Linked DNA regions of Pelodiscus sinensis. The protein of the gene in region 2 interacts with the protein of the main gene of each other region in a biochemical or structural test. Links are inferred from orthologs where the notes say so. Each region holds a gene or a part of one and is shown on either strand. Other genes may lie near its edges.

Evidence for each region.
Region 1: of the proteins of EP300 (region 2) and H4C16, one has a biochemical effect on the other in vitro, tested with the Homo sapiens proteins (5 studies listed by BioGRID). The link is inferred for Pelodiscus sinensis from reciprocal best matches to the Homo sapiens genes EP300 and H4C16.
Region 3: the proteins of EP300 (region 2) and CCND1 form a complex in vitro, tested with the Homo sapiens proteins (2 studies listed by BioGRID). The link is inferred for Pelodiscus sinensis from reciprocal best matches to the Homo sapiens genes EP300 and CCND1.
Region 4: of the proteins of EP300 (region 2) and AKT1, one has a biochemical effect on the other in vitro, tested with the Homo sapiens proteins (3 studies listed by BioGRID, with this or other methods). The link is inferred for Pelodiscus sinensis from reciprocal best matches to the Homo sapiens genes EP300 and AKT1.

What each region holds. Positions count from the first base shown.
Region 1 is NC_134711.1:85,908,152-85,913,556, forward strand, and holds H4C16 (histone H4), read left to right. Parts: upstream 1-4,297; 5' UTR 4,298-4,424; coding exon 4,425-4,814; 3' UTR 4,815-4,879; downstream 4,880-5,405. Other genes in the region: histone H3, read right to left, coding at 5,296-5,405. UniProt on the Homo sapiens protein: Core component of nucleosome. Nucleosomes wrap and compact DNA into chromatin, limiting DNA accessibility to the cellular machineries which require DNA as a template.
Region 2 is NC_134711.1:89,545,337-89,552,675, reverse strand, and holds the start of EP300 (histone acetyltransferase p300), read left to right. Parts: upstream 1-4,333; 5' UTR 4,334-5,882; coding exon 5,883-5,976; intron 5,977-7,339. UniProt on the Homo sapiens protein: Functions as a histone acetyltransferase and regulates transcription via chromatin remodeling. Acetylates all four core histones in nucleosomes. Histone acetylation gives an epigenetic tag for transcriptional activation.
Region 3 is NC_134714.1:88,731,221-88,739,218, reverse strand, and holds the start of CCND1 (G1/S-specific cyclin-D1), read left to right. Parts: upstream 1-4,989; 5' UTR 4,990-5,232; coding exon 5,233-5,430; intron 5,431-7,035; coding exon 7,036-7,251; intron 7,252-7,998. UniProt on the Homo sapiens protein: Regulatory component of the cyclin D1-CDK4 (DC) complex that phosphorylates and inhibits members of the retinoblastoma (RB) protein family including RB1 and regulates the cell-cycle during G(1)/S transition.
Region 4 is NC_134714.1:18,007,843-18,014,874, forward strand, and holds the start of AKT1 (RAC-alpha serine/threonine-protein kinase), read left to right. Parts: upstream 1-4,028; 5' UTR 4,029-4,172; intron 4,173-4,340; exon of another isoform or gene 4,341-4,674; intron 4,675-4,725; exon of another isoform or gene 4,726-4,857; intron 4,858-7,032. UniProt on the Homo sapiens protein: AKT1 is one of 3 closely related serine/threonine-protein kinases (AKT1, AKT2 and AKT3) called the AKT kinase, and which regulate many processes including metabolism, proliferation, cell survival, growth and angiogenesis.

The DNA.
Region 1 (5,405 bases), about 3.6 Mb from region 2:
TAATGTACAGTAAGCAAGGGAGGACAATCACCTGTGATCAGGAGGCAAGTATCTATCCCCATGCTTCTCAAAGGAAACCAAAACAATAAAGGATTGAATAGATCATCTAGGGAAAGGTGCTTGGAAAGCCTTATGAGAACTGCACACTGATCAGACACTGGTATGAGCTGCAGGAAGGGGCTTCTATGTGAGATTTTGCAGAACTCTGATTTTTAATTTTCATTGTCTTGATGGAATGTCTCCAGAGACTTCTCCTTGCCTATCTAACTAATGTGACTTTGCTTTGCACCAAGGAATCACCTCTATGTTAGCATCTCAATCATGCTAGAAAAATTGATAAACAAGACAGTGCCAATGTTTTCCGTATCTCCATGATTATGAGACACTAAGAGAATGTCTGCACTCACCCTACTGGAGATAGATATTCTGGCGTTTGATTTAGCGGGTTTGATTTAGACCTGTAAGTCAAACAGTGAGGGAAGCTCCAGCTGGCGCCTGTATTCCTCGCAGTCCCGAGGAGTAAGGGAAGCCTACTGGAGCATTTGCTCCTCTTGGCCTGCTGCTGTGTGGGTGCTGGAAGCTGACTACAGCTATGTATTCTATGTAGCTGGAATTGTGTACTTTAAGCTGACCTTCCAGGTCTAGTGTAGACCTGGCCTAAGCCGTGTTTCCAAAGCATGATGATGTGCAGACTTCAGCTTTGCTGGGCTGTAGACCTGTCTGTTAAATGGGAGAATCTAAAGGAGAATCCCCTGAGCCCTAACTGAGGCCCCAAGGCAAAGCATTAATGGAGGTGGGCGCTTACCCCCTCCTCTCCTCTTACAGCCAATGCCTGACTAATTACGCTATGCCTTAAAAAGTTTTAAATGGAGCTGTCTCTGTCCTTGCATACAAAACCTGTTTAAGCATATTGGTTAGTGCCAGTGCACGATTCTTCCAGGGAGATGGGCATTTCATGGACACGGAGACTGGCTCCAGTGCGAGAGCACCAGTCACTCACTGAACTGAACAATCATTAAAAGATTCCTGAATGTGGAAAATGGCTCAGTTTTGGAATTTCTTCTATGTTGCTCCTTGTGTGTCCTGAAGTGGGCGATACAAACCTCATGCTGAGCTGAGTAGGGCCACACTTGGGTTGGAGTCTTACTTGCACAAATGGTTCAATACTTGTAGAATGTGCACATTGACATCTGAACAGAAGGCTTGTCTGTATTCCCGGACTGGAACTGGAATGTACTTAACTTCTCTTGGTGGTTTCGGTAACCGGGTTTGGTTCTTTAAAGGATTTGAAACCACAGACAGAGGAATACTTCTTTTTAGGGTCAAACAAAGATTATTCATTTTTTTCTATTTACTTTATAATTAATTTTCCATTTAAATCAATTCACTATTTTTGATTCTTTTAAGACAATATAATATACAAAGAAAAAGTAGAAAAACAGTATAGTTGAAAAAAAAAAAACAAGAAATAATAACTTCTCCTACAGATATACCCTCCTGAGTTACCGTTAAACAATTTATGGAGTTAACAAATATATAATACTCACGTTAAGAAAGATAGAAGCATTGCTTAGATTCAGGAGATATTCTTTTCTTTGTTTTTCCTTTCTTTGGATTTTTTGTTGCAACAGGTGTTTGTTCCCCTTTCGGAGCTTATTTGTTCTCCTTTCGGAGCTTATGTGCGGCAGCAAGATTCAGCGCCGGGGAGGGAGACCTGGTTGATCAGACCTGGCTTTTGGGGTTCGCAACCTGTCCGCTCTTGGTCTGTTTCAACCAACCTTATATACCCTGTTTCGGTATTTTGGTACTCCTCCACTCGCCTGACAATTGCTGACGTTAGATTTTTGTTGTCTCATTCTGTCCTTACAAAAAACTTTCGTCTGCTCATTTTGGGGTAATCAGCACTTTTGTTGCATACTGCTGTGTGAGGTACTTACTTCCCTAAAAGCAGGGTTATTGTTGGTGAACCAATCAAATTTTGTTTTTATTTTTATCTCCTGTATCTGACAATGCTGCCTTTCCTTTCCACTTACAATTAAACTGGTACTCATTTGACATATTCTGGGTAGGCCGCAACACATCACTTTCACAGGTGGAATGATTTTCAAAGGCAGGATACCAGGTCTTAGTGTATCTCCTGTCTTAAACTGTGGAAGTGACAGACTCCTCTTCCTAGCATGAAGCATGCACAGCAAGCTTTACGGGGAGGGGAAGGAGTCATGTACTATCCTATGGGACTAATCCTGCTAATACACTTGATGGTGGTGCTAGCTGTGGTTTGAGAACCACGCTCAATTTACTCCCTGAATGACAGAAGAATGCCAGTAGGAGAAGGCCCAAATATCTTCCTAACGTTATTGGGCTCCCTGCACAGTGAGAGGCCCAAGAACTGATAAAAGGATCATTGAAGTGCTAGTGACAGAGGTGGTTTAATTCTCCATAAGAAACCTGGAGGTAATTTTAATCAAAGTTAAAACCCATATACATGTCATTGTTTTCTCTCCAGCAGTAAACAAACCAAATGAACGAATTGCCGGTGGACGGGCAGGAGGGAAGGGAAGATGCAATCAAACAAAACCAATCTCCAGCAAGAAAAGGAAAAAAAAAGTAAAACTGTCGAATTTCATGATTGACTTTGAGAAAACCTTTATCACTTGTGGTGTGCAGAGATCAGCAAACCAAAGAATACTTACTCTAAAGTTCCTTAACTGCCCTGTGTATAAAGAAATATACATAGATTACATATTTTACAGCAGATTTCTCTATTTTCCTCTGTATGTTAGTGCAAGTAACTAAAAATCTAGCCTCTTCAAAATCAGACAAACTTTGTGTCCACATTAAAAAATGAAAGAAAAGCTACCAATCTCCCTCTAAGACTTCTGCAACTGCTTTGGATGCGTCTATGCAGCAGCATTATTTTGGAATAATGGATGTTATTCTGAAATAATGCGAGCGTCTACACAGCAATTCCGTTCTTTCGAAATAATGGACGGCTTATTCTGACTTCTGTAAACCTCATTCCATGAGGAATAATGCCTATTCTGAAATAGCTATTTTGAAATAGCTGTAGTGTGGACCCTCCTCTACTGCTATTTTGAACTAGCTCCTCCCCAGGGCCATTCAAAGTCATTACACCCTAGTGGTTCCTGGGGCTCTAAATCAAGGTAGCATCCTCAGGACTATCTTTGAAGCTTTCCCATAGGGTACGTCTAGACTACCGCGTTTTGTCGACGGAAGTTTTGTCGACAGATACTGTCGACAAAACTTCCGCCAACAAAGAGCGTCCAGACACATTGAGTTCTGTCGACAAAACAAGCTGCTTTGTCGACAGAACTCCGTAGTCTGGACACAACGTTACAGGCAATAACACCTTCTGTCGACAGAGTTCTTGTCGACAGAAGGTGTTATGCCTCGTAAAATGAGGCAGTAGTGTAGACGCTGGTATAGTTTTGTCGACAAAAGTCCACTTTTGTCGACAAAACTAGGTAGTCTAGACACACCCATAGTGTAGACATGCTATTGTAAAATAAACTATTTTGGAGTATTCCTTCTGGAGTAACTTATTCCGAAATAAGTGTGCAGTGTAGATGTACCCTTTGTGAAATAGGAGAGGAGTCTGTTTCTTAGTATACTTCGGTCATCAGAAGAAGTGGGTTCTGCCCAGGAAAACTCATGATACCAGGTACGTGTTTTGTTAGTCTTTAAAGTGCTACTAGACTATTTATTGGCGTTGAAGTTTTTTCCTGTTACAGAGTAACTCCGCAACCCCTCTGAAGCTTTTGATTTCCGAGGGTCTGTTTTCAGTGACCATTCAAATCCGTGGTCAGACGCAGCAGCAGCAGCGACATCGTTCACGTTAGGCGAGAAGAAAGAAAACAATCAGGAGCAAGGGGAGGGAATCCGAGTGCCCATGCTCCCGGTTTTTGGCCGAAGCACATGTTAAACCCTCCTTTCCTTTGTACAAGCTTTGGAAAATGGCGGCGGCGGGGGCGGGGGAGCAGAGAAAGGAGCAGGGAGTGAGGAAGGGAGGCGTGCGTGAGGGAACCTGATTGGCCGTATTTTGCCGCAGATTCCTACTTGAAACGAAGCCACACAATGGCAGCCGCGTTATCGTAAGATTTGTCGAAAGGGAAAATATTCCAAAAACAGATAGAAAAGGTGACGTAAAGAGATTCCTAATCTAGCCATCTGCACGCTGAAGGAGAGGCCCACCAGCGTCAGGAGAGGCGGGCTTCCAAAGGAGCCCCCATGCTTCGTGCCAGCGCTTCACCCCGAGTCGCCTAAACCCCCCGCGCCAGTCCCTTTTAGTAAGCAAGCTAGTTTTGCGAGCCTTGCGCCGCCCCGGCAGTCAGAGGCATGGACAGCGAAGAGCGGGGGAGGGGAGACGGTACAAATAACCCGCCCTTTTCCCTCTGCGGTTCTCAATGAGGTCGGACTTCAGGCAATATACGGAGACGATTACCCGGCATCGCCATGCAGCTGTGACTGAAAAGCTAGCGAGCATGTCTGGCCGTGGCAAGGGAGGTAAAGGTCTCGGGAAAGGAGGCGCTAAGCGCCATAGGAAGGTATTGAGAGATAACATCCAGGGTATTACGAAGCCAGCTATCCGCCGTTTGGCGCGCCGTGGGGGCGTGAAGCGCATTTCGGGTCTCATTTACGAGGAGACTCGGGGAGTGCTGAAGGTTTTCCTGGAGAACGTGATTCGAGATGCTGTTACTTACACCGAGCACGCGAAGCGGAAGACGGTGACTGCTATGGACGTGGTTTATGCATTGAAGCGCCAAGGCCGTACTCTGTACGGATTCGGAGGCTAAGCCTGGCAGTCATTCTTAGGGAGAAGAAAAGAAAAAACTAACCCAAAGGCTCTTTTCAGAGCCACCCACGCTTTCATAAAAAGGAGCTGCTGTTGCTGTAATGGTTTGGGGTCTGGCCAAAGCCTTCGTTACATTAGTAGACGACGGCTGTTCAAATTAGCTCGGGTGCCGGATGGTAGCTTCTCACACGGAGAAATACTTTGCTTTGCGTTCTATACAGCGCATTATCGCTAAGACTTAAGTGAAAACCCAACACTCCTCTCCTCTCCCCCCAAAATAAAAGCGCATTTCTAAAGGCTTCTCAGTTTTAAGTTTGCGGGAGCGCATCCGGACTGCGGGGTGGAAAGGGGAAAACAACAGTGGGGTGTTTTTGCCCGATAGTAGCGTGTACCTAAGGAAGCGGAAATACAGCTCTTTTCCGTGTAAATGTGGTGGCTCTTAAAAGAGCCTTTGTGTTTTAAATGGTTGCAAGATAAGGGCTTTAAGCTCTTTCCCCTCGGATGCGTCGGGCCAACTGGATGTCTTTAGGCATTATAGTAACTCTCTTAGCGTGAATGGCGCACAGGTTGGTATCTTCAAAGAGACCAACCA
Region 2 (7,339 bases):
AGTCTACTATGGTTTAAGACCACAATGAATTGCATGATTAAATGTGGTTAATCACAATTAATTTAATTGCTTGAAAGTCCTATAAATATGAATAAGTAATAAGTAATAAAATAATGAATATATTAGATTTGATATCAGGATTATACTAGTAAATTGCTCAAAATCTTAGCTATGTCCTCTAAGGTTTCTACAGTGATAGAAATATTTTTTCATAATTATGAATTTAGCAGCAAATCAGGTCAAACTACTTCCCTCATGGAAGAATAAACATATGGAAGGTATTACATAGAAAAGCAATTGAAATAAAAGAATAAAAATGAGACACCTCTATTGGTTTCTGGAGAAGAACAGGATTATGGAATCTGGAAAACCAAACACACATGCAAGAACAAACATAGGATTAAGATCAACCAAAAGAAGTAACATGTTTGGGTCTCTCTTTTAATTGGTAAAAATGCCCATGTTTTATTTCATGAATCTAAGTAAACACACATGGCAACAATCTGGCCATGTTCCACTACATGGTCTGTTCCTATGCCAAAACAACTGGGTACATTATTGTTGGAAAACAATCATGAAATACAAAGTATACAGTGTCAAAACAGAAAATTCATGTATCCATTTGCACAAAGCACAGTGCATGGTTACATAATAAAAATGCCATCTGTTTATGCAGCTATCCCATTGTGCCTCAGTTTCTCTAACTGTACAGTAGGGATAATAATACTACTACACAGGGCCTTGTGGGGTATAATTAATTTGTTATTACCAGTAATCATTATGATTGCAATGTGCACTGTGGTTATTGGATGAAAGGTGCAATAACATGAGTGTAGTTATAATAAAAAACTGTTTAGGGATATAATGTACAGGCGGCCCCCACTTTGTGACAGCCCAATTTATGACCCCCCACATTTACAAGCTTTTTGTAAGTGCAGAAGGGGCCGAAATCCCCCGACTTATGTCCTCGGCTCCACATTTACAATGGCATATGACACCTGTCATAAATGTAGACTCGAGTTACGACATCCCCAACTTGCGACGCTATCTCCAGAACCAATCACGTTGCAAGTCGGGGGCAGCCGACAGAACAGAAATATGGAGCCTGAACTTATATTATTGGTTTGAATTTTGCCTCAGATTAGTAGTAACTTGAAAGCTATTACCAGGCCAGTTATTTTGTAGCCTGTGAAAAATCAGATGACAAAATCCCCTTCCTACTCTAAGGGTACATCTACACTGCAACACTATTTTGAATACCTAGGATCAATGGTGCTGACAGTGGTTCCTCTCTATGTGATGCCTAGCATTATATCAAAGCTGCTTGGTATAAATGGAATGGTAGGAATTGACCTCAGTTCTGTGTGATAAAAAATACCAATACAATTAAAAGGTAGGGTGTAAAACTGTAGTTCAACCCATCTTAATGTACAGAATAGAGTTTTGGACAGACACAAAAGAAATCAGTGTGCTCTCCACTGTAGAGATGAAGGCAATTAAATGATAGGCAATTAACTGAAATTATGAAGGGCCTAATGAGGGTTGTCCCAATTGAAGACAAGTTCAGAACATTGGTATGGACCAGTGTTCCCCCTAATCTTTTCCATCTATGTGTGAAATAATTTTTATGTGCACTGAGGCATGTGTGAATGTGTACCACCAGTAGAAACAAAACCTAGCTGTGGGCATTTTGTTAATTATCTGGGCAGCATTTGAATCTCTCCTGAGTGACTGCACAAGCACATGGCTTACAAGGAACACTGTTATGGACATGTCTAATGGAGAGCTGACAGTTATGGTACAATGGTCCTTGCGCTGTTCTTGGACAGAAGATGACCAAGGGAGAGGATAAATACTTGGTACATAGACCAAATTTCAGCCAACCTAAACATGACTAACTTGCATGACAGCCAGGTGTACAGTTATGAGTTTTGGAAGAAGGCAATAAAAGTCTCTGACCATGAACAGGGAAGTGGCAAGAAAGAAGATACCAAATTTTGTATCCCTCTATATATTCTTTTCTTTTAGGCCTAACTCTTATAACTTGCTCTGCATGCATGGAGCCTTCTGGCTGGGCACAAAACTTGCTGAAATCACTAGGTCTGTGCATAGGTGTAAGGATCTGCTCACATGGAATAGGTTGCAAAACAGTGGCCAGATATTTAAACTGCTCGAACAGGCAGTGTCTTTATACCTAGGACAGAGCAAAGCACAACACTGATGCATACTAAATAATAGTGTAGTGTAGGTGAGATCAGAATTTGTGTTTGTGAGAAACCAACCTTGCAAAATTGTCATGAAAGCATATAAACTCCAGTACAAGATCTATGCAGCTGTACTTGCCGATTATGATTAATGATAATGAGGGAGAAACCATAGTGTATATGCCTGAATATAGGGATGTGAATGACTCATTGACTAAAGGTGTCTAGATTACAGAGTTTTTTTCAAAAAAAGTGGCCTTTTTTCGAAAAAACTTCCCCTGCGTCTAGATTGCTGCCACATTCTTTCGAAAGTAAATTGAAAGAACGCGGTAGTTTTTTCAACCTTGGAAAACCTCATTTTACGAGGAAGAATGCCATTTTTCGAAAGTGCTCTTTCGAAAAAAGGCGATATGTAATGCAAACTGTGCTTTTTCGAAAGTACTGGTTGTAGTCTAGATGCTCTTTTTTGAAAGAAGCTTTTTCGAAAGTATCTTTCGAAAAAGCTTCTTTCGAAAGAGGCTTGCAGTCTAGACATTGCCTAATTGACTATCTGATAAACAAATGCTTATTGGATAGTCGACATGCTAGTTGACTAATCACTTCCCCCCCCTTGCTGCCTCTATCAGAAAGAGGCAGCAAGGGGGAGGGAAGAAAAGCGGGTGCTTCAAGGTGGCAGTGCCATGTGGAGCCCAGGGTCTGCTGCTATGAAATGCTGTGAAGCCTGGGGCCAGCTGGGGACTGGCCTTCCAGCTGGCCCCAGGCTGCATGCAGCGTTTCAAGCAGCAGCGCTGCATGGAGCCTGGGGTTTGTTGCTTTGAAACGCCAAGTGCAGCCCAGGGCTAGCTGGGGACTGAACTCCCAGCTGGCCCCAGGCTGCATGTGGCATTTCAAAGTGGCAGCTCTGCATGGAGCTCAGGGTCAGGTGGGGATTCTGAGTCCCCCGCTGACCCGGGGCTATATGTAGTGTTGCTCAGGGGTGGATATAGGGCAGGGTGAGCCGAGTGGCCACCCCAGGCCTCGCGCTTCAAGAAGCCGCGCGCATGCGCCACCACACGTGCGCCGTGTCAAAGGGGGGGCCGCGCAAAATTGTGCTCTTCTGGGCCCCGCAAAATCCTCATCTGCCCATGGTGTTGCTGCTTTGAGCAACACTGGCAGCTCTGGAACTGTTGCTACACTTCAAAGGCTGAGGCTTATCGACTAAGCGAATAATGGATGCAAACTGCATCCACTATTCGATTAGCCAGTTAATCTAAATGTAACTTCCCTACCAGTATCTACTATATATTTGAGAGAGATTTTCTGTGTCTGTCTGTATGCTTGTTCAAGAACTCCTTCGAAGTGGTAAGAGCTAGGACCACCAAATTCAGTACTCAGCTTTCTAACTTCAAGCAAGGTACATTTTCATTATGTTTTCAAAACAACCCAAAAACCTTAATTAAGGACCCCAGCAATGTCAGGTTAATGTCAGGAGAGCGGAGCTTTGCCAGGCGGGTCAGACTCCGCTTTAGGGTGATGTATCAATGGCAGGTTACACAACGGCGTAATCTGCATCTCTGGGTAGGTACATGCATAGCTGTCGCTGTACTGCGCATCACGCAGCCACCTCGCTGAGTAGAAATCGACATAGGAAATGGGCCAGATCCTGCTCTCCTCCCCCCTCCTCCCCAGCCCTTGAAATCCAGGGTCTGAGCTGCGGGGCCTTTGTCTCTGCCGAGCCGGGAGAGGCTCCGGGCAGCCGCGCCCCCGCCCAGCGGTGCAGCAGAGGAGCTGCCCACTCCAGGTTGCGCTCCCCCGCCCCCCCCCCCCAGCAGTCGGGTTACAACAATCCTGCCACAATCAACCACCGCGCTGCGTTTTTCGGCCGACTAATAAAACAAGGAGGCGGTGGGCGGGGGAGGAAGGGTTTCTTTTCCACCCCTCCTTCTCCTTCCCCTTTAAGAGGCGGAGGTGAGGGAGTTTGCGGAAGGCCTCGATGAAGCAGGGCGCGCGGAGTGGGCGGCCTGACCTCGTGACTGCCTCTGGCCCCGCCCCTGATTCTCCCCCCCGCACCGTTCCAGCCCCCACCCTCCGCGTTCCATTGTGAGTGCGAGCTCCGCGTGGCCCCGCCTTCCCTCCGGGCCCCGCCTCCTTTTTTTCTCTTGGCTCACTTCCGGCCGCCGCCGCCGCTCGCTTCCCTCCGAGGACTCGGGAGAGTGAAGAAACAACAGCCGCCATTTTGTTTGTGTGTGAGCGACTGAGGGAGGGCGAGAGAGACCGAGCCGGACGGGGCGAGCCAGGGGGCGGGCAGCGCAGAGAGACTCAGGGGGCCCGGGCGGGGAACGGGAAGAGAAGAGAGTCCGAGACCCACCCCCGTTAACCACACCAGCCCCACAGCCAGCCGCCGAGAGCCAGGCAGCGGCACTAGGGAGTCTGCGCGCTCGGCCTCCGCTTAAAGCCCCCGTTCCACCCCGCCCCGCCCGCCTCCGGGGAGCAGAGGAGACCCCCCCCCCGCGGTCTCTTTTATTCGTGAGGGGGAGATTCTCCCCCCCCCCGTCCCGGGATTTTGGGTGGTGTCTGGACCCCCGCTGGGGCCCCCGCCCCCGAAGGCGGAGGCGAGAGGGCGTCCCAACAGCGCCTGAGAGGCGGAGAGTGACCGTCGCCGAACGCAGGGTGGGGGAGAGGAGCCTGACACCCCCCGCCCTGCCCAAACCAGCGCTAACCATCCTCAGCCACTCGGGAGGGGAAGGTAGCGCGAGAGAAGGGGGGAGGGGCCGGCTGCTGCTTCCTCCTCCTCCTGCCCTGGGATCGGTCCCTCCGCTTGCTCAGGGGGGCACCCTGCTCCTCCGGCTGGGAGAGAGCGAGAAGGGGGCGCTGAAACCCGCCCCCTGCACCTCCATCCAGGGATCGGCGCTGCTTCCATCAGGACAACAACCCCTCCTCTTTCCCCGCACGACAAGATGTGAAGCGGAGACTCTTGGGACTTATCCTCACCCTCCTCATCCTTCCAGCTCCCCGCTCTGCAGCCATTAGTGCCTGGCGAGGAAGAAGCAAGGGGAGCTGGGGACCCCGGACACGCACTGTCTTGCTTCCCTCCAGCCCCTTCGCGGGCAGTGGGTGGTGGTTTTTTTTGCTGTGTGGTGTTGGACGGGGAAGGAGCTGCTAGAGGAGGGTGATTTTTTCCCCCTCTCCTTTTTCCTCCTCCTCTCCCCTTCTTCGCCCGCCTCCTTGTGGCGATGAGGAGGAGGAGAACGACGCCGAGGAGGAAGAGGCTGATGGCGGCGGTGAGGCGGCAGCAGGAGGAGGAGACCCCCCGGAGGATGAAGATGATGGTGGCAGAGATGAGGAAGCAGCAGCAGCACAGCAGCCGGGATTAATTTGACTAAACCCTACCAGGCTCTTCTCCTTCTTTTTTGTTGCTGGCACGGGGGGAGGTTTCCGTGTTCTTCCCGTCTCCTCTCTGTCCGGGGGAAAAGGCCTCTTCCGTACCCTACTCCCCACCTTTTCCCCCCGCTGAGTCGGTGCCACCCTACCAGAGACCGAACCCGAGGGGCAGAAAAAGGGGAACTTGGCCCCCCGCGTCCTCCAGATCCGTCGCTCGCTCTCATTAGTCCACAACTGAGTCGGGGATCCGAGAGGAAGGGGAAGATTTTGGGGATCCCCGTCCCTCTGCTCGCTGTGTTTGTCTAAAAAGAATTAAAAATGGCCGAGAATGTGGTGGAGCCGGGCCCGCCTTCAGCCAAGCGGCCTAAACTCTCCTCACCGGCGCTCTCCGTGTCCGCAAGCGATGGCACAGGTCAGTCTCAGGGGCCCAGACCCCCCATGTCCCAATAATACGCCTAGAACCCTTTCCTCTCCTCTAGTTTTCCTCCTCTTCAGCTCTGTTTCTTCCTTAGTCCCTTCCCCTTTTTGTCTTTCCATTTGCACCCGTTTTTCGTCTGCATCTATGTGTATTAATCTTTTCGGAGGGTATTTAATTGCTCTTGCCCTTTATTTGTTAGATGTGATTGAGATGGGATCTTATTTATTATTCATTTGGTCACTTGCAGAAAAGACTTAACAGTTGTACAGTTTTCATCTTTATATCTCTCATTTCTGGTGGTTATAGGCATAAAATAGTGCACAAAACATCTTAACTCTTAACAGTGTCTGTATACATACACTTATGTCTCAATGTTTGTTGGATTACATGCATTGTAAAAATCCTTACATATTTTTCTTCTAAATAAGAGAGTTTTTTCCCCATTCCTCCTTTTCTCTTGTTTGCATTCTGGTTATCCTATTTACTTTTTTACCATTTCCCTTCACCTTTTCTCACCTCTCTTTTCTCTAAGGAACAGCTATCCTGGTTTTTGCTAGAAATTTCTTAGTTGTAATTTTTAAGTTCTGGATTGCAGATTTTAGTGATGTGTAAGATTTTAAGACCATGTTTATCTGCATGCAAACACATAGCGTTTCATCTTATTTGCATTAAGAATCAATATGGAGCGCAGTTCATTTTGCATCTTCCATTTCTTTGCTGTGAGACCAAAATGTCTGAAATTTCCATGTAGATTTATTGGGTTGTGAAGATGAAAGGGTCTTTTTCTTTCTTCAAGGATTTTTAACAGTGGTTTTGTATGGAGGAACAATCCATAGTTGTTCCAAAATCAAGCTAGAGGGTATAAATTTTGGGTGTCCCAATCCCCATCAAATGTAAACTAGTTGTACTGGAAATTAACAGTAAGCTGTTCTTCACTGCCTCTTATTAAGAAGCAGATGAGCATTTGGTAAAATTCTGCTTTGAGAGTTCTGAGCAGCCTGTCCCCCGTTGTTTCTCAAAACTTGCTTTTAGATCTTCTTAGGTTAAAGAAAACTTTTGGGACTCAACTCTGTCACTCCCCCTGCATATATTCTCTAGTTAATGTTGTTGTTCCCGATAGGCACCAGTTTACTTGTTCATTGTAATTGTTTGAGCTGCCAGGAAAATGAGTAAAAAATGTCTGGCCGTCACTCAGTAAACAAGATGTTTTAAATGTCTTGCTTTCTGTTGTGCATTGGTTTAACTGGAATCATCTTAATTAAAAGTTTTTTGTTTGCTCATCTTCTTAATTTGTTCTATAAAGTTTATATACCTAATTGAAAAATGTTTGCAGAGAACTTTTAGAATACATTTAGTC
Region 3 (7,998 bases), on a different chromosome or scaffold from region 2:
GATCATTTTTATTTTCTTTTAAAGGGTTTTATTAAAAACTAAACGTACACACTAAGGGGTTTCTTAATGTATGCCAAAATATTCAGCGACACTGCACGAACCTGGATAATTATGCCGTTACAAACTCACCTTTTCTGTGCCCGACAATATCTAAGGTTACCGATTTTCATTCAAGAACAATCGCAATTATTTGCATTGCCCTGGCGTATCTGGATGCACCCTTTCGTGAGAATACGATGTGACCAGGGTGGCCCACGTGTAAGGGAAAGGTGGTTTTGTTTGTGTTTGGAAAGCAGAATCCAGTAATTATGATGTGAGACCTCCAGAATGGAGCGTGTGCAACCACTTCGACCACGTTGTGCAACAAGAACACAGTTCAGAAAACTACTAGTCCCCGGAGTGTTTGGATTCTGCAGTTACTCGATTGTCCCGGACAGGGATTTCCCTATCCTCCCCCCCCCCCCATGGGAGTGTATACCCCCGCTGAATTTCACCAACACCCCCCCCCCCCGCAGTTTTGTGAACTATGGTGCCATACAGCCCACCTTCACCCTCACGGTGTCACCCCTCATCGGCCCTCATACACCCCTTGTAAATTCAAACACCCCCCCCATTTCAATTCCTGGGGGGGCTACTGGCCCCGGAGGAGAGAATGAAGCTTATAGCATTAGAAACTGCATCACAGAACCTCCCCAAAGTCCTCTGATTCTGCAGGATGGTTCAATAAAAAATGAGCCTCTTGCAGTAGGAGAAAAGGAAGAAGGAGAATGATTTGGCACGTTAAACATCCAGATCTCTTCTAAATCCTTAGGTAAGCGATGGGAAGGTTCATCACTAAGAACATAATGCAACTCAACGTCAAGGGCAAGACACGACAAGCCCTAGCAGTACATGTCTGTGTAGAGTGAAGAAAGAGGGGCTAGATCCGGAGTGCATCGCCTCCTGCCCCACGCAGTCCGGAGCTGAGAGATCTCCGATAGAACCCTCTTCCCGTCATGGGCTCTTCAAGGGACCTTTGCCTAAAAAAAAAAGTCCTGTTTAAGTAATGGAGTCGGATCGGGGCAATGCGCTGCCTCCACAACCGTACAACACACGAATCGTTCCTATTGTGTAGTGGATTGGTTACTGCGCTGATCTAAAAAGTGTGTGTGTGTGTGTGTGTGTGTATATATATATATATATATATAGTGGAGAGAGCGGAAAGTAGAACTAAATTGAGGTTGTGACTCAACCCCGGAAAGCGACTGGCTGCAAAGCAAACTCCAGCAGCACATCGCTGGCTCATTCAGTAGGGCGTGTAGCCCACTAGGAATTTGAGATTGTGTGGGATCTTGCTGCCCCTGGCATTGTGCGACAGCCCCCACCCCCCTTCCCCTTCCCTCGGGACTTTCAGGGCACAAGAGAAGACCGCCTCCAAAGGCAAGCGAGTGATTATAGAAATGGCCCATTGGCTCCATTAGTTCTGCTCTAGCCAGAGCCTGGTGGGACCTATGTCATTTTGGGGACTCCCACTTTGCACCTCTACCCTCCCCTCCCCTCCTTCCTGGGATGTCGCTATCGGTACTAGGCCCTTGCTAAAGCCTTGTCCTGCCCAAGATCTCGTGTGAATTTGATCCAGAAGAACCAGGCACCTTGCTTTTAACACACACACCCTCTTTTCCCGACCACCCTCCCACACCGCCTCTCCCGCACGCCCACTCTTTTAAGCTTTGGGATGTGTGCGTAGCTGGAGAAGGAGACAGAACTGCTTGCTTTGGGCGTTGATGGAAATTGCCAGTAGACTAAGGCTAGGAATAACACGTGCTGCGAAAGACAAAACGGGGGACAAAATTGGGGGTTGGGGAGCTGAGGAGGCAGCACGTTAGACGAACTGCAGAAATCTGCACTGCGAAAAAGGAGACTTGAGCGTGGAGGAAGAAGCCTTTCCCCCCCTTCAATGAGCGATTGGAAAAGTTTAACAATGGAAAACATTGACGGATGAGTGGGGGGGAGGGGAACCCTTTTAAGTTGCCGATCAGGTATCTGGCCCAAGGTGAGATTCCACCTACACATGTGGGAAGTGGTTTGTTTAATTTATGGCATTCTTACAAACAAAAGAAGGCTGGTTCCCTCCGTCTGGGCTCGAGTGAAAAGTGCACACTTAGGAGAGACAGCAAGGAACAAGACTAGTCCTGGACATGTGGGTAACAACCCAAATGGATTTTTTAACAGGTTCAAAAAACCTTCCCCCCTCCTTCAGCAATTATAAGTCTGTCCTGCATTTGAGTAATAAAGAGACAGACACGAACTGTTCTGAAAATGCTGCAATGCTTTTTCCTTCTTTAGTCATGAATTAAATTATATTTCGCATGTTGCTTTGCAATACAGCTAAATCGGCTGCAGATCACCCGCCTTTCAGAAAGACAAAGTGCACCTTTAAACATTGTCAAGGATCTAAAGTGAGCTGAGAAGTCTCTCTGCCCGGCATTAGGGCGAGATTTTTAAATTGGGCACAAGTAAATAATTCTTTTGATGACTGTGCTTTGATCTTGGAGAATTATTTCCGTAAAAGAGCAGTAGGCACCGGCTATCAGTAACGGTGTGAACTTAGGGTTCATAAAGTGTCATAAAGTGTCATAAAACTTTTCCTCCCTCAGTCAATCCAAGTTTTCACGGTTTTTTGTAGCTCTTGCACTTTTGACCAGTCCCCTTTTCTTGTCAGAGAAATCAAGCAAGTTCCTAGTTCAGATCTGCCTGATCCGCCTGGTAACAGATCTATTCCCCTATTGGCTTATGCTAATTTCAGTTTCCTCTTGTATTTCAGCCCATTTTAGGGGGTGGGGGTTCCCTGCAGGAATTAGAGCCAATTTTGTTTTAAGTGGGCGATCTCGTTCATGCAATATTGCCACACGCAGCAGAAGCCAGTCTGTCTGTGCAGCGGTCTCAGCTGGAGGGTGGTAGTGGGAGGGGGGCTCCGGAAAAGCTGTAGCTGATACCACTCCGCCTCATAAATCAAGGGCTCTTGCCACACCGATGCGGATTTTTATGAATGAAAAAACAACTTTGTTCGCATCGTGAAAAAAAAAGCAGCAGCAAATGCATCGGGAGAGCAAGAATTCCATGCAGCAAACAGAGCGTGGGGGAGGGATGGAGAATCAGTGTAGTTGATCCCCGATGGAAGATTTATTGATCAAGAAATAAACAGAGAGAAACACTAATGTGACCAGAGGGGTAGAGGCAATGCCTGGTCCCCAAATTATACTGCCTTAGAAAATGTCACTAATGCTTGAAAGGAAAAAAATCCACATTAGAAAAAACGTTTGAGATTAAGGAGCGATGTAACTATTTGTTGAACAAAATGTACCCCTGAACTTGTCTGTGATTAATGGACAAATAGTTTATTGACTTTAAAGGGTGAGCTTAATGTTTGTTTGTTTGTTTAATAAAAATTGGAACATATTTGCTACTTTTCAGGAATAAAAAAGATACATAATTTATATAGGTAGGAATTTCTTTCCTTGGTTAAAAAAAAATCCCATAAATTCTAGCAGTGGACAAGTACAACAGGGGCCAATATCCTGACTGGAGCCTTTGTGTATCATCATAATATAGGCAAGACAAAGGTCAGATGTGAAGATCGCCTGTTATATACACTATACATAAATAAAACTATAGCCTTATGATCTGTAGCGATATATCCAATATAGCTCATTGCATGTACAAGAGGGACAAGGATTGCTATGCAGAATTATGTATACGTTATACATTCATACATGTGAACCTCATGCAATCTAACCCAACTGGAGATGCTTTGAGAAGGGCTGCAGAAGCGCCAGGTATTAATGTATTAATTATTATTATGTATTAAGATGTGCCCAGCCAGGCAGGCTGAGAACCAGTTCAGCAAGCAGAGGACAAAGTGGATCCCCATATCTATGAGCCCCCAAAACAGTCACCAGCGAGACACAAATGCTTGCTCCATTGAAATGAGTTTTGCTATGGCTGGGATGGGGCTAAGACTTCAGCCGTAGCACTTTCCCCGTATGCAAAAAGCAGCCAAATCCCTTCAGGCCTAAATGCTTCTTTTCTGAAAATGTTTCAGATTAAAGGGAAGACCTTTAACAAGTGTTCAATGTAAAAAAAAAAAGGTTTCTTAAATTTAAAATAGCTTTATTTGGGAAAGTAAAGTCTCCCATGCTGGGACCACAATACAACTGTGGATAGGGCTGTTGCTAACTTAAATGGGCTTTGGCTCTGGCTCCTGATAACCCCAGTGAATATCAGCACCTTCCTCGCATTCCTCTTCCTCTAGGTGTTAACTGTGCGGGAGGAAATGCTGGCCACCATTTTGCTGGGATTGTTCTGGGTGGTTACTGGTTATGTGTGCTGTGGGGGTGGGGTGTTGATATCTGATCTATTGCCTGCTTAGGGTTAACTGCTTTCTTAGTGCAGCTTGGATGAGCTATCACGGTGTTCTGCTTACCCTGTCTTTAGGGTAAAAGCTTAATATTAAAAAAAGCACCCTGAATATTCTAGGGGGAACTTTCTTTTCAGTTCGGGGATGCAGCAAAAATCTACACTGACTTGGTGAGGTTGGGGGAGGGGGTAGGTACAAGGAATGGAAAAGGACAAGATCCTCTACATGCCCTGGCAGGCCAGGTTGAAAGCCTATTTTTAAACAATGCTAGTTTAATTTAGAGATGGGTGATAATAATGAATATGGTCCTGCTGCCCTCCCCCACTAAAATGATAATAAATAAGCTTCCCTGTATTTATAGCCATGCCTGACTGTGTGTGGCCTAGTCCCATTCATCATTTGGCTCCCACTGCATTACTCTCTCGATTTTAAAAATTATGCATGATATGCTGAAGAGACAATTTGGGTTTCCCCCACCTCTCTGCTTCCCTTGAAGAAAGCAAGCCCTTGTCTCATTTGCATTAAACCCTTGCTTCTGTATAAGGGGAAGGACTTAAAGCCTATGGGATGGCTTTAGGGCTCTGCCCCTTGCTTTTGGCTTCTCTCTCACTCTCTGTCTCATTCTCTCTTGTGCTTTGATCTCTGCTTAACAACAGTAAACGTCACAGGGGCTATACAGGAGACTTTTGTTGGAAGTTAGAAAGTTTTGCAGCCTCCAGAGGGCTGTAGCGGCAGTAGCAGCAAGCAGCATCCAAAGGACTCCTGGAAGGGGAAGCGAGCGAGAGACTGACTGACTCAGTCCTTTAGAAAACTGCCTTTGGAAGAAGGAGACAGACATGGAACATCAGCTGCTGTGTTGTGAAGTGGAGACCATCAGAAGAGCCTATCTAGATACCAACCTCCTCAATGACAGGGTTCTGCAGACAATGCTGAAAGCAGAGGAGACCTGCTCGCCCTCTGTGTCCTACTTCAAGTGCGTGCAGAAGGAAATCTTGCCATATATGAGGAAAATAGTTGCCACTTGGATGCTGGAGGTTTGTATGTTTCAGAGATTTCTTTGCAAGCTGCTGCATTAACCAACCCTGAATGGCTCCCCCGTTCTAGAATCTGCCCCCTCGCCCCCCCCCCCAAAAGCTTCCTTCAGCATTGGAGGTAACGCTAGAGCTATATATTGACAGTCAAGAATGTGATGGCTTTTATCCCCTTATCTTCTATTTGCTTCTTAACAATGAGGTGCCTTCCATAGCGGGAAAGCAAGCCCCGCACCCCCATCTCTAAAACAAAAATAAATTCTGGGGCGGGGGGGCTCCCTTGAACCTTTTCAAATGAACTCGGTGCCAGAGAAAACAAAGTTTCACAGCCCCAGCTGGAAAAAGCCCCCTTAAGACGCCTCCTCTGGGATCCCAGATGAACACAGCAACTTCCCAGGCACCCCGAGGCCCCACTCTTGTCTTCGGGCAGCAATTAAACCTCGCCAGCTATTTTATTGGGATTTTATTTTAAATTAATATCGATGTACACGTATGCAAGTGCTGCCCGTGCCAGTATTATGCGCCATCTTTGTTCTTTTATTGCAAAGCAAAAGTGTTTATTAATAATTAGAAAATTAGCAAGTCCCCAGGAGCGAGCCAAGGGGGGCAGGGGGCGTCCCAGAAATGGGGGTCCCTGCTGGGGCTGTGGACAGGGGGATCGGCTGTTGGGCTCTGTCATTTCTGGGGGAAATGCAGGGTGAAAGTTTCTTTGTTCAGAGCAGAGAGCGAGCTGTGGTCACCCCTCAAAGACATGCTTGTGCTGCAGGAACTTTCGGCAAGGTCGCATGGCAAAATCCAGTTCAAATGCCCCACTCCCCTGGCAGGACATGTCCCAGGGCATCCCCAGCAGGATCTAGGGAGCCTGGGCTACATTTTCATGCCTTTTCCGAAGCCTTGGACGCCTGCGATCTATTTTTAATTAATTTTTGAAAGCGCAGCACGTTGCCCTTGCTCTAGGAAATGTCGCACGTTGCTTTTCTGAAGAGGGTGAGGGGGAACGAGGGAGTTTGATTTCGGGGTATCTCCCTGACCGCCCCTAGGTGCCCCATCAGCACGGGGATCGGTAAAGGACCCCCGCCGGGTCATTTTCAGCCGTTTTTGGAGCTTGGGCTGATTTTTTAAATATTTTTAAATATTTTTTGAAAAGATGACGTCTGGGGAAATGGGGCTGGTGCGGCTGCTCCGGACGCCACCTTTGTGTCTCGAGCAAAGCAGAAGATCGGCTGCACCCAAGTAAATAAGAAATAATAATCATAATAATTAAAGAAAACCCTGGGAGCCCAGCTGGGCCCCTGCATCACTTTGCAAGTTATTTGTCCTTTTTTTTAAAAAAAAGCGACTCCCGATCTGCGAGCACCCAGATTTTTACCAAAGCTCGCCTGCGGATTTTTCACACCACATTTCCCCACTTTCTCTCTTTGCGACTTTCTCTTTCAGTTTCTTTTAAGTCTTCCCTCCTCTCCTTTTGGGGAAATTTATTTCTCCCCCGTCAACCCCATCCTCTGCCTTGCCCTTCAAGCTTTGGTTGGGGGTGGGGGGAGGAGGCATAACTGGATTTAATAGTGGATGCAATTACTGGTCGTTTCAACGAGCTCTCTCCTTTTCCAGGTTTGCGAGGAGCAGAAATGTGAAGAGGAGGTTTTCCCCTTGGCTATGAATTATTTGGACAGATTTTTATCGTTTGAACCCCTCAAGAAAAGCCGATTGCAACTCCTGGGAGCTACCTGCATGTTTGTGGCGTCAAAAATGAAGGAAACTATTCCTCTGACCGCAGAAAAACTGTGCATTTACACCGATAACTCTATTAGACCCGACGAGTTACTGGTAATTTCACGTTTCTTTCGTCTGGGGGGAGAAAAAAAAAGCACGAGCAGGAGCGAGGAAGAGAAATACATACAAACAATTAAATCACATAAATAAGCCCGCCCGACAGAGAAAATCGTCAGGCTTGTTCTTCAGATCTGCCCAGCCTGCCTCCCCCGCCCCCCCACGCCGCCACTGAAGCATTATGCGCATTTCACCCCCGTAGAATTATTGCTCGTTCCGCTCCAGCTCCCAGGCTAACTCCCTGACTCGCACATGGGGACAGGAGATGTAACTTACATGGCTCTCAGAGAGAGTGCACCCACCTCCCCCAACCCAAAGGAGTTGGCATGAAGGGGTCCCACGCGCGCCTTAGCCCGGGCTTGTGCAAACGCTCTGGGACTGCAGACTAAACTAGACCGTAGATTGTTCGAATGAGCCCCCCCCCCCACCCCAATACTCTCATTATTACCTCACCCTAAGAGAAAGTCCAGTCCAGCGTGGAAAACGTGGGTGGCTGGCGCCCTCTTGCGTTCCGAATGTGCCGTTCAGCAACTTGACTGTTTAATGGAGCGTTTCAAGGCAGCTGGGCGAGGATAAGTCTTTCCAGTAGTTGCATGCAAAAAGGCATCCTCACCTAGGTGCTCTCCTGCTGGTAGTCATCCTTAACAGCACCACTAGTTAGCAAGAGTAGTATTTTAGTCCTAGTTTCCCCCTCATGCAGAAGTCAGTGCCTCAAAAAGATTGCCAGTGCGTTAAGATTCCAGA
Region 4 (7,032 bases), on a different chromosome or scaffold from region 2:
TGTTTTAACGGCACCAACAGAATGGGACATTACTAATGAGTTGGCCATGTGTGCACTTCTATAACATTAAATAATAACAAGTCTCTTGTTATGGGACTGCCAAAGAATTCATATGGTATAATCAGATGTCTCCACCAAAACTAATTTATGGGAAGCCGCATAATCTAATGGTTTGGGCAGGAGACTGTGCATAACAAGACTTAGCTGTATTTTCAGTCCAACTACTGTTTTACTATGTGATCATGAGAAAATTACTTACATACATGCTTGCAGTATCAGGATGTAACTTTAGGCATGTGAGTTGATCCACTGCCTTCAGGTCTGTCACCCAAAAAAAGGATCTCTCTGATGTGAAGAGACCACATCAAGAACAATAGAAGACTTTTAGAATAAATTGATACATTGAACAACGATAATCAGCAGTACCAGACAGCATTCACCCAGCATTCTGGTGGAACTCAGATATGAAATTGCAGAACTACTAAGTGTGGTATGTAACCCAGGGCTGGATTAAGGGGGAGGGGGTCTAGCCGGGCAGCTGCCGGGGGTGCCAACCTATGGGAGGCGCCTGATGGCAGCTGTAAGGGGCGCACACGCCCATCCGCGCGGCACCCCTTAGAGCTGCCATTAGGCACTGCACGCCCGGGGCCTGTGCGGCACCCCTTAGAGCTGCAATCAGGTGCCGCACGCCCAATTGCAGCTGGAAGGAGTGCAGCGCACCAGGGGTGGAGCCGCGCATGCGTTGCGTGCCTGCTGCCCAGGACGCAGGAATGGCTCGAGCTGGCCCTGATGTAATCTATCACTGAAAAGCTACAGAGGGGTAGCCAAGTTAGTCTGTAACTGGAATATATTTAAATGCTGGAAATAAACTGCCTATGGAGGTTGTGGAATCTCCATCTCTGGAGATAGTTAAGAGCAGGTTAGATTGACATCTATCGGGGATGGTCTAGAAGGTGCTTGGTCCTGCCGTGAGAGCAGGGGACTGGACTTGATTACCTCTTGATGTCCCTTCCAGTTTTAATATTCTATGGAAAAACTTAATGAATAGTCTAGCAGCACCTTAAAGACTAACAATACGGCTACGTCTAGATTGGCATGATTTTCCGCAAATGCTTTTAACGGAAAAGTTTTTCGTTAAAAGCATTTGCGGAAAAGAGCGTCTAGATTGGCACGGATGCTTTTCCACAAAAACAGCTTTTGCGGAAAAGCGTTTGTGCCAATCTAGACGCACTTTTCCACAAAAAAGCCCCGATCGCCTTTTTCACGATCGGGGCTTTTTTGCGCAAAACAAATCTGAGCTGTCTACACTGGCCCTTTTGCACACAAAAAAGGACTTTTGCCCGAATGGGACCAGCACAGTATTTCCGCAAGAAGCACTGATTTCAGACAATAGGAAATCAGTGTTCCTGCAGAAATTTAAGCGGCCAGTGTAGACAGCTGGCAAGTTTTTCCGCAAAAGCAGCTGCTTTTGTGGAAGAACTTGCCAGTCTAGACACAGCCCACATGTAGATATATCATGAGCTTTCATGGGTACAACAATGAAGAAGTGGGTTTACCCATGAAAGCTCATGAAACCATCAACATGTGTTGTTAGCAAATACTCTAGCAGCACCTTAAAGACTATCACTGAAAAAAAGCCTCTGTTACAAATCACTGGAAGGTAGCTAATGTAACACTGATTTTTAAAAAGGTCTTCAAAGATGATCCTGGCATCTACAGACTAGTGAGGCTACCTTCAGTACTGGGCAAATTGATGGATACCATAGTAAAAAAACAGAATAATCAAACACATAGATGAATAAAATTTGTTGATGAGTCAATGTGGCTTTTGTAAAAGTAAGCCATACCTCACTGATTTAATACAATTCTATGAGGGAGTCAACAAACATGAGGATATGGATAAGCCAGTCAACATAGGGTACTTGGATTTTAAGAAAGCATTCAACAAGGTATCTCACTAAAGAAACTAAGTGGGGTAATAGGAAATGCCCTCTCATGGCATCTTTCAGGATCCAAAGTTCCTACATATGCCTCTCTTGACATGTGGTATACCTCATGCAATGTATGTACTAAATGACCTAAAAACTATGGGGGCGAAACAAGACAATTAGTACACTCTTGAATGAACTCACTCAGAAAAATGATAAAAGAGAAAAATACCATATCACCTGAGAGTGAATATTTTTCACAAAGTGATTGGCTCACCCTTATGCATATCTATATCTGATCTTTTAGTCCTCATATTCAAAGGAAACCTGCACAGCACTTTCAAAAGACGAGCCAGTGATCTTAAATTCATAATTTTACTAGGCACTAAGAATAAAGGTCTTAATAAAGCCACCTGATGTATAGCTTATAATAATTTGTAACCCTCTAACCCCCTCTTTTTATCCCATGACTACAGAGATATTAATTTGTTCATTTACCTTGAATAGTTCCTTATAACATGTGTTAACTACTTATGCTAAAGTCTGTTCCACCATGCATTTCTTGCACTTCTCTCTAGTCTTTCTGCAGCTCTAGTGCCCACCATTTTTGGAAACAGGATATTGGGCTAGATGGATGATTGGTTTGAGGCAGCATCACAGCTTTTAGTATTTGTAGAATTAGGGTTTTAATCTCCACTTCTGCCTTTGCTTTGAGCCACACCGTAGTATTCACTTTTGTAAAATGCTTTGAGATCCTCAGATAACTGCAAAACACACTTTTCACCATGAATCAAGAGAGAATTTGAATCTGCCTGTTCAACAAGCTCTCCTGATTCATTTCATTCTATCTGCTTAGCAATGTTCTCTTTTAGCTAAAAGATTAATTCAAAAGGAATAAGAAAAGCTTTCTTTCCAAGACACACTTCAGTGGAGTAAATAGTTCTTGCAAATATAAGGCTCCAGAGATAAGCAATTTGATCTGCATACCACAACCATGCATGCATGGAGTCTCCTTGATTCCTCATGTGTGTGTGTATTTATGAAATATGAAAAAGTCAAGTCTAAAAGGAAGACAAGCAATAATGTTCACGAATAACTTCTCTTTGGTGAAGTTTATGTAGGAGAAGAATGAGCATATTTCAATCCATCCTACAACATTTGAGGATTACTGTTGCTACTCTGCATGTTGAATAGAGAGGTAGCCGTGTTAGTCTGATCTTGCTAAAACAAAAGGAAAAACTATGTAGCCCTTTAAAGACTAACAAGATGGTTTAATAGCTTTTGTGGGCCAGACCTACTCTGGCCCTGGAAAGCTCATCACCTATTAAACTATCTTGTTAGTCTTTAAAGTGCTACATAATTTTTCCTTTTGTTGTTGCTACTCTGTTTCCTTTAGGACATTTGTAATGTATTTATGTATTTATTTTCCCTAACTGCAATACCTCTTGTCTCATATCTTAATTTCCCTCTCTGATCTATAACTCACAATTGCCCACATCTTTGGTTGCTTTTGGCTATACATGGGTGTCTTCACTGAGGTGTCAATTCCAAGAATAAAAAATTATGAGTCATGCCCTCTCCAGTCAGGAGATTGGCTTAAAATTCACTCAATTAAAAAAAACCCAACAACACTCTCAGTTGTGTAAGTTTTTTTAGTTGGCTGCTGTGTTCTCAGCTTTTAGAATTTACTTGATTTGCATTTGCAGACCCATCTTGAGAATCACGAGGGCTTAAAAAAAACCTTTTAAAAAAAATGAGAACTGACATTCTCACATTACCAAATTAATTCAAGCCCCAGGGCTTTATTGAAAACACCAACTACTGGGAGAGTTGGCCGCACAGCTTTTGTTTTGTTGTTGTTATCATCCTATTGTGGTAACACACCTTCCTGCGCTAGGGCCCCACCACGCTAGGCACCGTCCAAAGCTAACAAAAAAGTCCTTACAAACGCACAATCCGGTCAGTTTCCCTCTTGTGTGTGTTTGCCTTACAGTTTGAGCGGGGTGGGTGGGTGTGTGTGGGGGGGGAGGTGGGGAGCTACGATTCGAGCTAATAAAGCTGGACTCCGGTCCCACCAGCGTGGTTGTGTGTGAGTCGAGCTCTCCTTTTAGTAAACAGCAGTGTGAGCGGCAAGCCGCCCTGATTGCCGTGATAAGCCTGTGTGCGGTTAGGAAGTTAGCCGGAGTTCCCCACGTCTCCTGCAGCATGCCGAACAAACACCTGCATGGGCGCCCCGCGCCGACTGTGAGTGTGTGGGGAGGGGGCCCTGGACTAGCGCCAAGGGGGCTGCAGCAGGAACTCTCTGCCCCCCCCCCCGCCCAGCCGGGCTCTGCAGGCGGCTGGATTCCGCGGGCGGTAGGACCCCGCAGGCATCGCCGAGCAGACACAGCCCGTGTGTGTGTGTGTGTCTGTGCGAGCAGCAGGCAGAGGAGGGACCAGGCGAGCGCAGGCTGGCGGAGCCGGGAGCCGCGGCAGCAGCCCAGCCTGAAGGGGGGTGGCTGGGGCAGCAGCCAGCAGCTCGGGGCCCGGCCGCCCCCTCGTGCGCCCCGGCCGGAGGCTGCCCAGCGCCGGAGCGGCCAGAGCCAGGCGGGGGTCCGGCCGGCCGGCGCGCTCCATGGGCTGATCCCCCGCGCCGAGGGGCGGAGGAGCGGCCGGCGAGGGAGACCAGGCGGCTGCCCGCGCCCAGCTAGGCCCTAGCGCCGGCCCCGCGGGGGAACCCGCCCAGCAGCGCCGCCGCTCCGGGCGTGTAAGTGCCCCGCGCGCCAGGGCGGCGGGAGGAAGCGCCGGGGCCTGCTTCGCCGGAGCGGGCGGGGGGCGCTCGCCGGGGAAGAGGGAGGCAGGATGGTGCGTGCGGCTCCCTCGCGGGGCCGGGCCTCGGCGGAGGGAGGTTTCATGCGCCGCAGTGGCGGCGGCTGCGGCACCCCGCCGGGTGAGCCTGCAAGGAGGCTGGGGGCTGGCGCCCTGGGGCTTACTCCCCGTTCTGTGCGTGTGCATCGGGGCATGGGGCGAGGAGGGGAAGGGTAGGGCTGCGCGAACAGGAAGCGGCTGCCTGCTCTGGGAATCCAGTCAAGGAAAGTGTTTGTGACTGGAGCTTGGGGGGGTCTCCCCGCAGAGGGAGGAGTGCTGAGCTGGATCTTGCACTCTCCCGCCTTGCTTCCCACCCTACCTTCGCCCCACAAATGCATGGGGAGGAGCGAGGCTGGCTCTGTCTTCGAGCCTTCTTGGTTGGATTCCTTGGCTATCAGGAGCCTTTTGGTTTGCACAAGCTTTTATGTGGCACTGTTTTTCAGTCAGTTGATTGCTTATAACAGGTTTCTGAGACTCTCCAAAAGTTATGACACAATTTAGGGAAGTACTGTGACCAGTCCCCGTCCCCCCCGCAACTTCAGTGGTCACTGAATTGTATCTTGGAGACTTCTAGCACCTTCACCTCACTTCAACTTCATTGAAAAAAAAAACCACTCTCTGCGTATGTGGGTGTTTCCTTAATTTGACCTGTGTATTTTGGACTTTGTTTATCATAACCAATATGGAGATGCATTAGACATTTTGGTGTGGTGGTGTTTGTACTCATGTGGTTGCATGTTTTTTTGCTTAGGTGAAGTGTTAGCTTTATTTCCCCTTACCAATATATAAGAAGCAAATATCTGATTTGGTTTGTCTTTACATCGGGACAGGAAGTACACTTTAAGTTGCAGTTTTTAAGGGGAGTGGCCGGATTAACTTTGTTATATTTGTTTACAAGTAAAAAAAAAGTGTGGTGTGGCTACTAGAGTACTTTAGGTAGCTGTTAATTTCATAGGGGCAGCCAGGATATTTACCTATAGCACAGAAGTATTTGTGTGTTTAAATACATTGTCATTACCTTTTACTTTTTCAGTAGGTGGGCTATCAAGAATTTGTGAATGATATTTGCAAAATATGAAAGCGTGCAGTCTAATTAAAGAAGAATCCCAATTTATTAAGCAGTATCTATAACTCTAGTTTTCACTTGCAAGCTAATAATATTTGCTAGAAGAAAATTCATTGAGAATTAAATGGATCTATGACTTACTTCATCCTTACGAGGGGTGGACCCAAAACTTTTGTTTACATATGTGTTCCCTCTCATTCCATTTACAGTCTCCTGACTCTATATGCTCATATAATTTGAAACATATACAAGAGTTTTATAAACTATAAATTGAGTTTTCTCATTTGAGGAACATAATGAAAATGTAAGGGTCTGGAAAAGCTGTCCTCTATTTCCAGTCATTCTCACTTTTGCCCTGCTTTGAGTTTGTCCACCCAACAATCCGAATCCGAGATAGAACTAAACTTGTATATCAGTGGTCTCCAACCTTTTTGCACCCAAGATCATTTTTAAATGACAGAACAAACCAAGATCTACTACCCCATCCTTCCCCCAAGACCCCACCCCTTCCTTGAAGCCCCAACACGCCCTCTCTATTCTCCTCCTCTCCATCACTTGCTATCCCCAATCCTTATACTGCTGCTTTTTCCCCCCAATTCTTCTGTAGGAAGAGGTTTTTCCAACATTTGGCCTGTCTAGACTGGACCAAATGTCAGAAAAACCCCTTCTTTTGGAAGCCCCTTTATTCCTTGTGGAAAGAGGAATATAGGGGTTACCCAAAGAGCACATTTGCTCTTCCACTAAAAAAAGTGAAAGAACAAATGCATCCCTGGATGTAGAAGAGTTTTTCTGGGATAACTCTGGAATCCTGAAAAACTCTTGGGCTACATCTACACTGGCATGAATTTCCGAAAATGCTTTTAACGGAAAAGTTTTCCATTAAAAGCATTTTCGGAAAAGCGCGTCTAGATTGGCAGGATGCTTTTCCGCAAAAGCACTTTTTGCGGAAAAGCGTCCGTGGCCAATCTACACGTGGTTTTCCGCAATAAAGCCCCGATTGCCTTTTTCACGATGGGGGCTTTTTTGCGGAAAACAGTACTATGCTGTCTACACTGGCCCTTTTGTGCAAAAGTCTTTCAGAAAAAGACTTTTGCCCAAACGGGAGCAGCATAGTTTTTCCGGAAAAGCACTGATGATTTTACATCAGATCGTCCGTGCTTTTCTGGAAATTCAAGCGGCCAGTGTAGACAG